Rhinolophus ferrumequinum: one gene and its partner. The main gene of each other region encodes a partner of the protein of the gene in region 2 in a complex. Links are inferred from orthologs where the notes say so. Each region holds a gene or a part of one and is shown on either strand. Other genes may lie near its edges.

Region 1 (7,488 bases), on a different chromosome or scaffold from region 2:
GGCAGCACTGCCCCACCATTAACTGGTCCGCTGGGATTCCTTCAGAAGGGTCCCAGGTTCCAGTCCCATCAGGTTGTCACCCTCCCCCACCCTGGCTCCAGGGCTGACAGGGGACACAAGGGACCACTTGCCTAAGGATGACATGGCAGACACAACAGCACTAAGAGCCACCCCTTGTCGTCCCGCGTGGTGACAGGCCCCTGAGTTTTCCAGGTCTGCAGGATTATGGATGTTTCCTCTCACAAGACCCGGGCCTATAGGGGCGGCCACAGGAGGCCCACGCTAGGGCGTGGCCCATGGGCTGGTCTGAAGCTCAGCTTCTGGAGGGGATGGTCCCTGCCCTGGGGTGTGAGTTCCTGTCCTGGGGGCAGGGCCACCCAGGGCTTTGAGCCAGGCGACCCACAGAGTGAGGGCCAGCAGTCCTCCTTCATGCCACCAGTGGGGAAACTGAGTCTTCTAGGAGAGCTGTTACCAGATAAAAAGCTCAGGACGCCACACCTCTGACGCCCCTGTCAGCCACAGGACCCACCTGGAAGGGGGTCTCGGCAACAGCAGGGCTGAGGCCAAAGGTGTCAGCACTGACGAGCTGGGCCCTGCTACTCAAACAGGACATCCCCAGCGCCTGCTCACACAGGAAACTCCAAGGACAGGTGACAAACCGTCAGCAGAGAAAAGTCCCATCAAGGCCCAACACTCTGCTTGGGGACTGCTGGCCCAAAGGAAGCCCCCACCAAGCACTGGTGGGGGGCCAAGGACAGACCTACCTCTGAACTCCAAAGGCCTTCTCCTACAGAGAGCTGCTCACTAGTGTCTGGGGTTGCTCAGAAAACATTTAAGGTCCCCCGATTATGTGACAGGAGCTCGCAAGGGTGGGTGGGCTCCACATGCTGGGGGCTGGCTTTCTGCTGAGTATGTTTTTATGCAAATGAAGTTGCTACTTTGAAGAGGAGAATGGAGGGGTCCTGGAGAATGGGGAGAAAAGGCCCTGGGCCCCCATTTGCGACCTGACCCTGCAGTTCAGTCAGCTCACCAGAGGAGAAGCAAGCTGTGCACCTCTCTGTGGTGGCGGTTCCCCTCCCCCAACCCGAAGGTCGGTCTGTCCTGACCTATCAGGGAGCATCACTGTGCAGGGTCTGGCTCCCTGCCAGGTTCCCGCGGCTTGGTCCCTTGGGGATCCCAGAGACAGCACCCTGGCTTCTCAGCAGGCAGGCAGAGGGCAGGCCTGGGCACCAGCCAGAGAAAGCTCCAGCCTCCAGCCACTGGCTCAGGTGCAGTCACAGCCCCTCCCTCCCACAGGCCCCCAGTGCCAAACTCTGTGGGCTCCAAGGGCACCGCGAGGGGCAGGGGGGCTGGGAAGAGGAAGCCAGGGGCTGACGGACCCGGCACAGGGTGCAGGAGAACGTGCAGACCGCACAGCCCCTCCCACGAGCAGGCCCCAGCCCACGCTGGCTGGAAGTTGACAAGGATTGCAGCACATGCAAGATGGCCACCGGCAGCCGGGCAGGATGCGAAAGCAGGCATGGGGCCACCATCAGGCCAGCTCCCAGCAGAGGGGGTCCCCAACCCAGCCTGCTCCCCCACAGGCCCAGGCCCTGGGCTCCCCTCCCCCGTGCTGCCCAGAGACCAGCGAGGACCCTTGTCTGACATCTTTCAAACACAAGGGGGGCAGGTGCCTTGTGACAAACAGAACTGGGTCCAAATCTCTTGAATTATTGAGGTGGAAACGACTGGCTCAAGGAAGGGAGTGCAGTGTGCTGAGTTCTGGCCGCACTGCTGTGTGGGGGCCCCTGGCCCCCCCTTTGTGACCACGAGGACGCCACAGGACTGTGCCCTAGCTGTCCCGCTGAAAGCCACCGAGGGAAGGGCTGCCCTCCCCACCAGCTAGACCTTATAATTTTATACATTTTTAGAAACGGACGGAACATCCCAAAGGCCGTACAGAGCCGGCTGCAGAAGCAAGCACCACTGAAACGCCTGCCGAGCGCCTGTCCCCACAGAAAACCCTCCAGCTTAAGGGCTTCGCCGTCCCAGGCAGATCCGCATCCTGGCCACCGGCTGGCGAGCAGACCCTGGCGGCCCCCGGCGCCTCCACAGGAGACAGGCCCGCGGAGCCCCCAAGGGCAGGGACAGAGCCCCCACTGGGCCAAAACGCAGTTCATCTTCAGGACACGCGAGAGCTTTTCATTTCTTTCAAAGCAAGTTGCGTGTAGTTGATCTCATCGTGCGCCACCCGAGTCTGTGACATTCCCCCGCCCGCTGAAGCCCTGGGGGAGTATTTACAACAGGAAGTGACTTAAACGAAGCAGCGGAGCCCGTCTCACTGACACAAGACCTGTGGCCCAAGCAGGACACACTGGGCCGAGGGCCCTCCCGCTGGGCACCGCACGTCTGAGGTCGGGGTCGAGCACCGGGGATCTGGGGAACCGGGCGTCTGGTGGGGGACCGGGAACCCGGGGCCTGGGATCTGGGGTCTGTGGGGCCGGGAGGTCCGGGGGAGTGGGACCCTCGGGTCCGCGGTCTGGGCACCGTGGGTCTGGGGAAGCCAGGATCCGGGGGTCCGACTGGGAGTCACGGAGCCAGAATGCGATAGGCCGGTGGGCCGAGGGTCCACAGGGTCGGGGTCCGGCGCCCCTTTGTGTCACCTGCGCGGGCGGCGGGCGTGACGGCGGCGCCGGCGCACGCGCACTCGCACACAGCAGCCCGCGCACGCGCTCGGAGCTCCCCGGCCCGGCCCCGCCCTCGGTCCCGCCCCCGGCCCGGCGGCGCGCGGACGCCGGCGCGCACGCGCACTCGCACACAAAGCCGGCGGCCCCGCCCGCCGCCCCGCCCCCGCGGCCGGAAATGCGCGCGCGCGGCCTTACCGAGCGGCAGGCCCTTGTTGAGCAAGTGCGAGCTGCCCATTGAAAGGCGCGGGCGGCCGCGGGCCTCGACGAGTCCGGCGCGCTCCGCCGCGAGCCCGGCGCCTGGGGCGGCCTGGGCGCCGTCCGCTGATCTGCCCGCTCGCCTGCGCCCGGGCGCCGCCGTGCCGAGCAGCGCCGCGCCGCGCCAGCAGCCGCTCCACCGGGCGGGCGGGGACAGGCGCGCGCGCGCGGGCGGGGCTTCCGGCCCAGCGGCCTCCTGTTTCCCGGCGCGGGCGCCGCGCAGCACCACGCGGGCGGCTGCAGGCCGCGCCCGCCCGCCCCGCCCGCCCCCTCCCGGAGCCAGGCTGCCCGCGCCGCACCTGCCCTGCACCAATATCTGCCAGGCCGGGCCTCGATGCTCACTCCCGCTGGCCGCGCCTGCCCCGCTCAGGCACCTGCACACCTGCCTGCCCCGCACACGCAGCCGCCGGGCTGCGCCTGCCCAGGCGAGGCGGCCTGGACAGGAAGTTCCTAGACGAGCTTTCCTAGTCTGCTGCAAGGGAACCAGCTCTGAGACACTGAAGCCAGAGCACACGGGCTTCCCAGGCCTGGGCTGGGGCTCTCGGAGAGGTGACCGGGGTGACTGAAGCGGAGTCCTCACCCCAGCCTGTTTGGACACCGACCCCAGCCCTAGAGAGTGACTGGTGCTTAGTTCCAGAAGTCCAGAGGGCACCCCGGCCCTCAAGGGAGTTTTCGGTCCCCAAGACGAGGTGATCCGTGATGCGGAGGAACCGCAGGCCAGAGCCGCAGGCCCAGGCACCCTGACGTCTGCGGTGGCCGGCACTGAGCTGTTGGTGCAGTTCTGCAGGCCGCGTGGCCACCCTGAAATCAGTCCTGTTGTCTTCGCTTTTATAATTCGTACATCAGTGAGGAAATGTGGGGGATCCAACAAAGGATGACGGAGAACTGGGTATCTACTTGGAAAACAAGTACTTTTAAACTCCCACTTAGTACTCACCTGTAAAAATACCTTCCAAATTGGATTAATTGGAACACATGGAGAAATGAGAAAGCGGGATGTAAGCATGTGGCAAACCTCTTAGGGAACTTTTCTGAATGCAGATTCAAAAGGAACCAGGAGGGAGAGATCAAAACTCCAGACCAGGGTGTGTGTCACCCCCCACCCCCATTTTCTCAGAAGATTACTCCCCAAACATTGGCCTGAGCCAGCTCCTGGCCCTCTTCCTGTCCTGCCTTAGCACCTCCTGTGCTGAGATCTAGGTTGCCCCTTGCTACCCGCTCTTGCCATCTCACAGCTGCCCAGAGCAGGCTCTCCCACATCATTTCACCCCTGTGACTGCTCCCAGAATGTAGATCAGACTGTGACCCCCTGCTCAAAACCCTTTAAGGATTCCCGTCGCACTACAGAGGAAATCCATGCTTCCTGTCACAGCCAGAGCCCCCACTCTTGCACCCTTCTCCCTCTAACCTCCCACTCTCCAGCCACATGGCCCTTCTTCCCGGCTGTCACAGGGCCACCACACACGCCATTTCTGCTGCCTTCCCCTGCTCTTCCCATGGCCACTTCCTCCTCCTTACCCTGTGTCCAGTACAGGGGTTTCCTCTCAGTCTGGGCTGTCTTCCTACCGCACTGCCCACTCCCGAGGACAGGGGTCTCTGTTCCCCCAGCCACATGTATTCCAGGTGGAAACCTGCTCGGTGGAGCCACAGGAAGGATCGATGCATGGCTCTGAGCAAGCCGTCCCGTGCATGCCTCCTCGGTCCTCCTGGCCAGCGGTGCCACAGCCTCTGGGACAGGACCGAGGGATCAGTTAGATACCGAGGGATCAGTTAGATACCCTTCCACTGTCCCCACACCTGTGTGTGTGGTCCTGAGGCCCCTGAATTCCCTTCAGAGAACTGGCCTGCAGACAGCCTGGGGCAGGCAGGTGAGTAGGCCAGGGGAAGCCCATCTCTGCCCTGCCTGACACCACTGAGCTGTCACCTCCTGGTGGAGCTGCCCCCTCCCAGGAGAGATCATCTGGAAGGAGCCCCCACCCTTTGGTCTTCAGCTGGACCTGGGTTTGTGCCCAGGAAGCGCCTGGTACCTGAGCTCTGCCTCCATGAAGCAAGCTCAGACTGTGGCCACAGAGTCTAGCCCACGACTACCGCGGTGTGCCTCTCCTTTCCAGAAGAGACCGGACCTTCCCTCCAGGTCACCAGAGGTGGTGTACCTGCATCCCCACTTCTTTCCTTAAGGAATGCGAGAATTTTTCCAACACCAGAAGTTAATATTTTTCTTTTCTCTCCGTGGAGAACTAGAGGTCCTTTGTCTTCTAGTCATTCTGGGTCGTCTGCAATGTTGTCCAGACAGCTGAACGGTTTGTAAGCCGGCAATCAGTGCGAGCTCATGCAGCGCTTCCACCCCATCAGCTGCTGTAAGACGCTAGTGCTGTTCGCTCAGTGGTTCTTGGGGGAGCGTCATGGCCACTGCAAAACAACCCGTCTCTCTTGTGGCGTTGAGAGGCGGCCTAGGATCCAGCTTGTCATTGAGTTGAAGTGGCACTGACAATGCTCGGACAAGGCACCCTTGCTGGCTTCCCACTGTCACCACCACCAAGGCCCAGGGTGTCCTGTGGGCCCACTGGCCCCCCTATGCTGGCTTGGGGCTGTGCTGAGAGGAGACCCCGGAGGGGTCATCTGAGCACTGGGGCTGACGGGCCTGACAGTGGGGCCCAGTGGGGTCGTGGAGGAGAGGACAGGCATGGAGTCCTGATGGGGGAGGGCCATACCTACAGAAGTCTGGGAAAAGAACATTCCAGAAAAGGGAGCAGCAAACTCAAAGTCCTGGCGTGGGTGCAAGGGACAGAGGGCTGCAGCTGGAGGAGATGGAGAGACAGCAGGGTCAGGGCCTTGGCTTCTATTCTTGGCTGCCAGAAGGGGTGATGTGAATGGTGGGGTGCACAGGGCAGAGACCCCACTTGGGAACCCCCCCTCCGGAAACGGTCAGCAGCAGCTGAAGGTGGCAGGGCCTGGAGGACTTGCCACCAGGCTGCAGGGGGCTGGGACAGAGGGGGCCTGGCCACTCCATTCTTCACAGCTAGAATCAGGCCATATGCTCCGTGCTGAGGGACCCGGGGCCGGTGGGTCAGCTGGGGAGAAACCCACAACTCACATTCTGACTTGTACTTGCTGAGCAGGAACGGCTGTCAGATGCCTGAGTGTGCAACAGATGGGACCACCTAGAAGCAGGGGACCTGGCCAGAATTCACACTTCTTCCATTGCACACGCAAGTTCATTCTGCAGCTGCAGTGGAGCTCCAAGGAATTTCACAGGTGCAACCAAGAGGGAGAGGTGACCGTGGCCAGGTACCCAGCACCTCCCTCAGCTCTGCCTCCCACAGCCTCACCATGCAGCCAGCCAGCAGGCCTCGTCACTGCTTCCCTGGCTCCTCTGGTGCCTGCACCACCTCCCGTCCCACTGTCCCCAAGCGCTGCTTTCCAGCACTGGGGCTGCAGCCCCAGAACTCTGTGTGCTCCCCACACGTGACTACAGCTGTGACTCCGAGACCCAGGCATGACCATATTGGCCACACTAGCGCCACAGCTCTCTGCAGGCACAGCTCTGCACCCGGCTTGCCCGCTGGGAGGCGCCAACAGCCGACCTGCATCTGTGCAGGTGGCCTGCTCATCCTCTTCCTGCACCTGGGGCCGGCCACGTGCCTGCAAACAGGTGCTCAGTGCCCACTTGCCCTGCCAAGGACGCAGCCAGCCCTCCAGCTGCTGGAGAGCCACCCAGCTCAGGAAGCCAGGCCCCGGTCACTGAGTGGTGTCGGCCTCAGCGCCACGCGGGACAAGCACATCCACAAAGAATCACTAACGCATTGGATGAACAAATGCTTCTTCCTGGGGCTCCACACATGGCTGTGAATTTAACTTGGTGTCTCCTGGGCTGGCCATGTGTGGGAGCAAAAGTCCGTTCCAAATCACTGCACGCAACGCCAGCCAGGAAGGTTGCTGTCCCCACTGGCCCAGGTGGGGACACCGGTTTTGGTGTGCAGACTGAGGACCAGAAACCCTGCACCCCCAAATTAAAGAACTCATCATTTTCAAGCACATGGAATGTTTACCAACGATGGCTACATGACACGGCCACAAAACCAGTCCCAGCAAAATACCAAAAACCTATATTGATCGTGTTCTCCAACCAAATGCAATGACAATAAAACTAAGATAATAGAACCAAACATTTGGAAATGTAGAGCCATAAACTATATTTGACTCATGCTTCAAAAAAATGAGTTTAAAGCATTTAGAAGCCGACAACAAAGAAACACTACATGGAAATGTCCACGGGGCAGCCAAGCCAGACTTGAGGGAGCTTCTGTCCTGGACGTGTGTGTGTGTGGACTGTGGGAGATAAGGAAGGTGGAAAGAGGCATCTCACGTCCAACTCAAGAAATGAGGAATTGCAGAGTAAACCCACGGAAAGAGAAAGGCTGAAACAAAGACATGATTGTGGATGAAAAGTTAGGGAGTAAAGCCCATGTTACCCAGGAGTCACAAGACCAAAAACTGGCTCTTTGGAAAGACGGGCGGCATGGGCCCCAGACACCACCCCCCACCACCCCTACCCCCCGCTGTTGCT
Region 2 (7,853 bases):
TTTATTTCCCTGCACTACCCTCCTTCCCCAAATCTAAGGTTAGAGAAGGAGCAAGAGAATAGACACTTGGTATTTCTGACTGGAGACTCAGAGCACACTGTATGTGACTATCTCCACATCCAGAATATCTCCATGCTGGGTCCAATGGATTGGGGGAGGCCAGTCTCATCCAGTTCTCTGGTCATTGGAACTAGTGCTGTAGCTCTCTCTCGGTGCTATGGCACTCCCAGCGACACCTCCTCAACGCCTCCCGTCCTTTTCTTTTTCTTTCCTGCCTTTCAGAGGCCTCATCTTGGAGGCTGGTTTTTGGGCTACCAGACGTTTTATTTATTTTGCAGTGCTTACCCAACTGCCCACCAACCAAGTTCTCACACTGGCAACTGGCATCACGGGGAAAGCTGTTTTCGCTTTTAATCCCGAGATGGGCAGGTTTTCCTGGGCGGAACTTCACTGCTGGAGGTCGGGGGCTTCTTTACGTTATAAAGGCTCCCCAGCCAGGGCTGAGCGGTGCTGGTGCCAAAGCAGCCAGTATCCCAAGTTCCAGTCTCATTTGGTTCACTGTGCCCTGGCCGCCTTGCTGACGCCTCTAGTGGGTATCTTATAGGATGAAACGAAAGTGCCCATTTGGAAGATATTGTGTATGTGTGTGTGGGGGAGGGGGGTGCGGCAGTAGACGGCCTCTCTGGGCTTCTCAGAGGCAGAGAAACTGGGATGCCACCGGGCTTATGAATGTGCACCTTGCAGCCCATCCCCAGCTTCTGAAAGTGGCACAGCTCCCCATGTTCCCTTTTGAGAAGAAAACAAGTGGGTGGGGGCATAATGCTGCTCCCGCGCAAGCAGTTCCCACCCACTGGCCTCCCCACTGTCCTCTACCCACACTGGAACCCGTCTACTGTAACAAAGGCACATCACCACACATTTTCAAAGTTATCAGAAGTCTCTTGGTCAAGCAACAACCAATTCTGATTACTCCAAAGGAAGAAGAGGGACATTTAGAAAACGGTGGGAAAGATCCCCTGGGAAAAGCCCAGCAAACCTTGCCCTATGCACGCAAGGCTAAGAATTGCTTTCTCCCTGCTGGCTGCTTTTCTCTCTGTTCTAAAGAGAAGCTTCCAAGACTCAGCTAAATAAAGGGATCACACCAGAGGAGGAGAGAGAATGCTAAACCAACAAAAACAAAGACTCAAATGAAACAGAGCGAGCCATGAGAATTCGCGGTTATCAAAACTTTGTTTGGCCGTATCTATTTATCATCGCTGCACACCCGGGCTCTGCGGAATATCATTCTGTTGATGTCACTTATCCTCAGCAAAATATTTACACATCCTTAAAAACGCCAGATGAGGGGGGCCAGCCCGCGCACTGCCGCAAGCTGCCCCTCAAGCACCGTCGCCGAGTTCGGGGCGGACGGTGAGGTGGTGGGGCAAGACTAAGGGTGGCTCCGCCAGCACAGGTAAGAGCTATGGATAGTTCCCGGAACGCGGCCACCCCGGCGCTGCGCCCTGCCCTGCCCACCTCTCCCCCACCTGACTCTGCTAGAAGCAGCCACATCCCCGATATGGTGTCTGCGCCTCCTCCGTCTCCCCCTGCCTTTCTCATTGATTAAGTTCTCAAACCATTGTTAAAGCCGGGTTGCTTTTCCCTGGAAAACTGGGCTGAATTCATTAAGCTTCACCGTGCCACAAAAGGAATATTCATAAAAGTTTGGCAGGCAGAAAAGGAGGTTGACTGCGTGCCACGGGGTGGGTGACAATTCGCTTCTCCAAAGCCACCTTCTTCTTCCGTGCCCCATCCCTCTCTCCATCCATCCGTCGTGCCCCAAACCTACTCCAGGGACTTCTGATAGGGAAACACAAAGCAGCAGCTGTTTGGCAACATTTCTACCCCTCGCCGGCAACTGTGGTGGGATGCCATTTCCCCACCCAGGCGGAGCATATCCGGAACAATAGTCGGGCTTTAAACGGCAAACAAGCAAACACACAGAGCACAACCCCAACCCCGAAAAAGCCAACGCGGCGACAAGCAATAACTCCCTCCGCAGCAAAAGACATCGCGGAAACGCACGCAAAAATGCAGCGAGAACGCTGCTCGGTGCCTAACATGGCAGAAAGCCTGAGCCGCTGCGGCCACCCTGGGTCTGAACATTGGGGGGCACGAGGGCGTTCGGGGCGCCGACGCACACTCACCCGGCTCCAGGAGGTTGCGGGGCTGGCCGAGCGTCACAAAGGCGAGCCCAACGCGATCTGGCAAAACCCAACTTTCCACCCGGCTCTCCAGGGCCGCCAGATACGTCAACAGAATCCATCTTTCGAAGGGCCTGGAAGGCGCCGGGTTTTCCGGGCCGGGGCAGAGCGGCAGAGCCAGAGGCGGCCCCGTGCGGTGCCCAGGCGCGGAGTCTGCCGCGCGCCGCCCTCTGCGCCGGGTGCCAGCGCTGGTGGCGGCCCGAAACCCACTTCGGGGCCCCCGCCCCGCCGGCCGGCGCCGCCTCCCCGGCCGTCCCCGGCCCCGCCGGCCAGTGCGCGGCGCCGGGAGCGGGAGCGGGACCCGGGGACGCCGCACGGGTGGCGGCCTCAGCCTGTGCGTCCCCGCCCCCGCCCGGCCCTCCCCGCTGGCCCCGGCCTCCGGGCGCCGTCCTGCCCCCAGGAGCAGGCCCCTCCCCGGGCGCCGGGCCCTGCCAGGCGCGCCCAGCGCGGCGCGCCCCCTGCGTCCAGTGGCAGGTCCGCCCGGGGAGGGCGGGGGGGACCCCGACCCGTAGTGGGGCTCCGCGGCCGGTACCTCGCAGTCGCAGCCGCCGCCTCCAGGAAGCCGCAGGGTGGTCGCGGGTGCGGGAACTCTCGGGTCCGGCCTCGCCGCCGGCCGCCTGAAGAGGATGCGCAGCGGTGGGAGCCGCCGTCGCCGCTGTCACGGAGCTGCTGTCGCCGCCGCCGCTGCCGGTTGTGCGTGAGCGTGTGTGCGCCTGTGTCCGGGCGAGTGTGTGTCTGCGTGCGGAGCCCAGCCTTTACTATATACACCAAGGGGTGGGAGGAGGCGGGGCAGGGGAGGGCTTGGGGGAGGTGGCGGAGGAGGGGGAGTAGAAGGGGGGCGAAAGGGTACCCGAGGAGGCGGTGGCGGAGGAGGGACAGGTGATCTCGCCCACGGGGAGGGCGTGGTTGTAGGAGGCGAGGGGTGGCTGGTGGAAGGGGCACCCGGGGCGCGGGGTGCCGGGTGGGGGTGGTGAGACGCCTGGGAGGGCCGGCGGGCTAGGACCATTCCAGATCCCAGGATGGAGAGGAGTGAGAACAGAGCCCAGGAGGGAGAAAGTGGCTGGCTGATGGAGGCCGGAGAGGTGGGAAGGGCCCAGGGATCACCTCCTAAAATGTCAATTGTCATACATGTCCAAGATCCTTCTCACGAAGTGTGAGATTATTAGAGACAAAATTAGTCCACGGACAATAATCTCATTTCCACGTAATTGTTTGAGAGGTGATTCATTTATGAATCTAACATTTATTAAGCCCCTACTGTTTCCCAGACACAGGGCTAAGAACTGGAGTTACAGACAGAGATGATGAATATATGGTTTACTAACCAGTAAATAAATCATAGGTATCAGCAGTACTATTGATCATTTTAAAACAAAATAAAAAACCTAAATCCTATAAATGTTTTAAGACAGCAAAGGAAGCAACTACATTGGTTTAATTGATCCCCAAAGATGTAGATTTGTTTCCTGCTAATCAAAACAGGATGAAGATATTTGAGAGAACAGCAGAGCAGACATGACTTTAATCGGAGCAGAAAGCAGTCTGAATCTACCTGTCCTTTGCATGTTCATATGTCCTTTAATCCCAACACTGAGTGGTAACCATGATATCCCTCTTGTATTATAGAATTTGGGGTGGCCGACCAGAGTGTGAAATACATAGAGAGAAGCCTGGTTAAGTTTATAATTTGTATGGGAAGCTGAACTTGTGTTTGAAAGGTTCTGTTTGAACCTTGCTGTTTTATAAGCATAATATGGTAGAAAGCAGGGCCACATTATGATTTTCGTGGGCACGTTGCCTTTGTGGATGCGTTCCTCCATTAAAAAAATAGTAAAGATTACATTTTTCAATTGCATTAGTGTAAAGACGAATATATTAACATGATATACTAAAACATTTTCTTCTACTTAAAAGATCACTTTTTCTTCTGATTTTAAAAGAAATTAAAACATGTCCGTGGGCCCCTAAAAGGACTGTGGGCCCCAGGCACTGTGCCTACTGCCGCTAACAGAGAAGTCAGCCCTGGTGGTACTATTCCTTGATACAGAATTTCCTCTTGAAAAAAAGAGTTAATTTAAGAAGTGCCCAATCAACATAAGGGCAGAAAGACACACAGTTCAAGTTTAAGAATTGATAATAATGAACATCAACAGAAGGTACCACATCCTACTTGTTTCAATCAGGCTCTTGGGGTTTTAAATCAGCTCTGAGTAACTAATGATACCAATGGAAATATTTGTCTGTTATATGTCTTCAACCACTTCGGTAACCAAAGACTTCCTCTATGGCTCTCATAACTGTTCTGAGCCCTTGGATCAGGTATGTGAGGGCTCCGTCGCCAGGACCTAGCCTGAATACAACTAAAGACACAGCTGGGTAATTATAATGGGACAAGTTCATGGATGAAAGATTCATAAAGGTTTTGTGTGTGTTGAGGGGGTATGTGTGTATACGGTAGGGACTGATATCCTGGAAGGCAATTACTAGCCTATTTCTTTTGTTGGCCTCATCACAACCCTGGGTTAATGTTTGATCCTCGCTGGCAGTTGTGATTCATATTTGCTGCCCTTTGAGGTGCTTATGTTTTGAGGAAAGACTATATTGATTCAGATTAATGCATAATAAACAGGCATCATGGCCCCTATTCCCAAAGAAATGTACAGTGGCACCCCTCTGTATTTTCATCGTGACAACCCTTGCAGAGGGAAGGGGAAAAGAGGAGTCCATAAAGAAAGGGTCTGGATTGGGAGGGAGATGTTTTCAGACAGAAATAGGACATGGAAAAATTGTATTTACACAGTTTTAAGGGATGCCTAAGAAAATGGAGGGAAGAAAGGACATCCCAAACAGCAGGAAAGAACCACAGACAAACAAATAAACAAACAAAAACTTCATTGCTCAGGTTGATTTTTGAGATTTTTAATTCTAATATTTGGACTCAAGAAATTTCCTATCTCAGATCTGATTCTTTTGTCTCTGTCCTATTTCTCTAATACAGCATCGCCTCCTAATCTAGTTTTTGCATACTTGCCAGATGTGTGATTCATTCATTTATCCAATGAACATCTATTAAGCACCTGATGTATGCCAGTCACTGAGCTAAGGACTATGGTTAGGGAGATGTTTAACATAGGGTTGCTGACCCCAAGGAGCTCACAGTCCAGTAAATAAAGTGTTAATAATACTATGGAGACTGTGTGGTACATGAAGAGTTATAAAATCAGCCAGGTGAACACCGAAGAAGTGGGCCTACCCTTGTACTGAGAAGGCATAGGGAATGGCATGGGGCAGGGCAGTCAGAAAAGATTGCACAGAGATGGTGACAAGAGCTGAGCATTGAGAGATGAACAGGAGTTTTTCAAAGTTAAGGGAAAGGCATTACAAGTGACGGGAACAGCAGGCACCAATGCTTGGATGCAAAGCACTTTCTGGAGGCTGCAAATATTTTGTGAAGGTAGAGTAGAGGCTGTGAAGAATAGTAGTAGGGGGTGCAGAGGTAGGTAGGAGTCAGTTGAGGTCCCTGGTCTGTCCTGTAAAGGAGTTTTTTCTTAAAGTCAATGGGGAGCCATTGACAGAGTTGAAGCAAGGGAGTGAGTGACCAGGAAAGATTCGGGTTGAGGAATGATCGCTCCCCTGGGGGGTGTGAAGGGCTGATTGGAGAGGGTAAGCTTGGAAGCAGGGAGACCAGGTGAGAGAGATTTTGTCAATGATCAGAGTTGGAGTGAAGGTAGTGACAGCAGAGATGAAGGGTCAGAACTTAAGTGGTACTCAGGAAATAAAATCAACAGGACTTAATGATGGAGGAAACAGGAAGGATTAGAATGACTGACGCCTGGCTTTCTGAATTGGGTAACAGGGGGGTGGGGTGTGGCCACTGAGATAGGGGTCCCTAGGAAGAGAAGCAGATTTGGGACTGGAAATGATGAATGCCATAGATTCCCCCAGAAGCAGATCCTGAGATAAGGATTTGAGTGCAGAAAGTTGATTTGGAAGGTGAAGGAAACACTGGTAGGGTAATGGGGAAGGGAGACAGGGGGGCAGCAGACAATAGGGGGAATGTTTTCACGGCCCATTACTACCATGAGCAAGTGGAGCTTAATCTCGCAAGCAAACTCTTGGACACGATGCAAAACATGCACTCCAGAATTGTCCCACTCAAGAAGTGAGGAAGCTGGTTGAGGGCTGCCCAGAGGATGCTAATTTTCTGGGAATTTCAACTTGCCACCTGGCATAGGCAGAGAGTCCTTCTCAGATATCGGGAGAGGATCCTGGCTGGCAGCTTGGAGGTCTGTGGAACACACTGAAATGGTAGCATCCGAGGGATGTGGGTAGAGCACTGTCAGTGTTTGCTCCAGGGAATTCTGATTAGGACATTTTGAGTTGGAAGTGCCTGTTGGGTAGCCACAGAGAGAAGTCCAGTAGGCATTTGCAAGAGCAGATGTGGAGGTCAAAATCTAAGCTGGAGACCTAGATTTGGGAGTTGTTGGGCCATGGGTGTTTGTTGAACCAGTCAGTGGGTGTGGATGAGCTCTGCAGAAGACATATGTGACTTAAGTTGATGGCTGAGCCCGTCACCCTGGGCCATGACAACATGATTTGATCTTATCTGCACGAACATCATTGCCAATTTCTCTAGGAGTTCCTGGAAGCCCTGAAGTTGTAATGCCAATTTAGGGCTCATGGGTATGAATGTGTCTGGGGAAAAGCGTCTGTTGCTTTCAGGAAATTCTTAAAGGGTCTGTATTTCACTAAAGTTGAAAAAATTTGGTGGCCACTAATATTTACTGGATGACTGAGTGACTGACTGAAGTGGGCATTTAAAAACATAATCACAATGCAAAGGGATAAATGCTGGGAAAATACAAGGGGTAATTAAATCACAGAGGATTGAAATGAAACCCAGGCTCAGGGAACAAGGATGGAAAGCATTCAGAGAAACAGGCCAGTGAGAATGACATTTTAACCTGAAGAATATTCAGAGTCCATGGGATAAGGGAAAGTTTTTGACAATTTTGATAGAACAGAGACTTCTAATGTGGTTGGCATGGGGGCTTCAATATTCTTCATTTGGAGACTTCATATGAACTGTATTATGTCCTGATTTTATCCAAAGTGTATAAAAGAATTCATATGAAATCTTCGCTAATTTTAGCAAAGATTGAATCAAAGGATATGTCAGTTCGTCCTTCAGTTAGGCAATCAACAAACATATCTCGAGCAGCTATTAATTTACAGTAGTAAATTAGTAGTACATGTGAGAACACACAGGGTAATAAAGTATCGGCCCTGCCCTACACTGGTCTCTCATAGTCCAATTGTAGCTCTGTCTAGTCTCATAATCAGGAAAGCATTTCATTTCAGAGAATTTTGGGAAATTGTCAAGAGTAAAAAATAGGTTCATTATAAATGGCTCCATTCTATATTCCCCATTCCTCTTTTTTAACAGAACCCCAGTGTTGTTCAGGTATCCATCCCTTTCCTACAAAAACATGCACTTTAGAATTTGATCGTAGCTTTAAGGTGGTGTCTGTTTGATCTGAAGCAGATGGCACCCCTCCTACTATAATTTGGAACAAGTAGACAACAGGAGAGATTTGCTGGGGGCATTAT

What was found. The genes of interacting proteins can lie anywhere in the genome.
Region 1: the proteins of RAI2 (region 2) and CTBP1 are in contact, whole or in part, in a cryo-EM structure (PDB 8ARI), measured with the Homo sapiens proteins. The link is inferred for Rhinolophus ferrumequinum from reciprocal best matches to the Homo sapiens genes RAI2 and CTBP1. Residues at the interface, in NP_001166210.2 of Homo sapiens: Glu315, Ala316, Leu317, Asp318, Leu319, Ser320, Met321, Lys322, Trp326; in NP_001319.1 of Homo sapiens: Arg36, Cys38, Met42, Val51, Ala52, Phe53, Cys54, Asp55, Gln57, Gln60, Glu61, His63, Val66.

What each region holds. Positions count from the first base shown.
Region 1 is NC_046288.1:87,554,585-87,562,072, reverse strand, and holds the start of CTBP1 (C-terminal-binding protein 1), read right to left. Parts: upstream 3,011-7,488; 5' UTR 2,902-3,010; coding exon 2,862-2,901; intron 1-2,861. UniProt on the Homo sapiens protein: Corepressor targeting diverse transcription regulators such as GLIS2 or BCL6. Has dehydrogenase activity. Involved in controlling the equilibrium between tubular and stacked structures in the Golgi complex.
Region 2 is NC_046284.1:113,086,724-113,094,576, reverse strand, and holds the start of RAI2 (retinoic acid-induced protein 2), read right to left. Parts: upstream 3,016-7,853; 5' UTR 2,776-3,015; intron 2,505-2,775; exon of another isoform or gene 2,187-2,504; intron 1-2,186.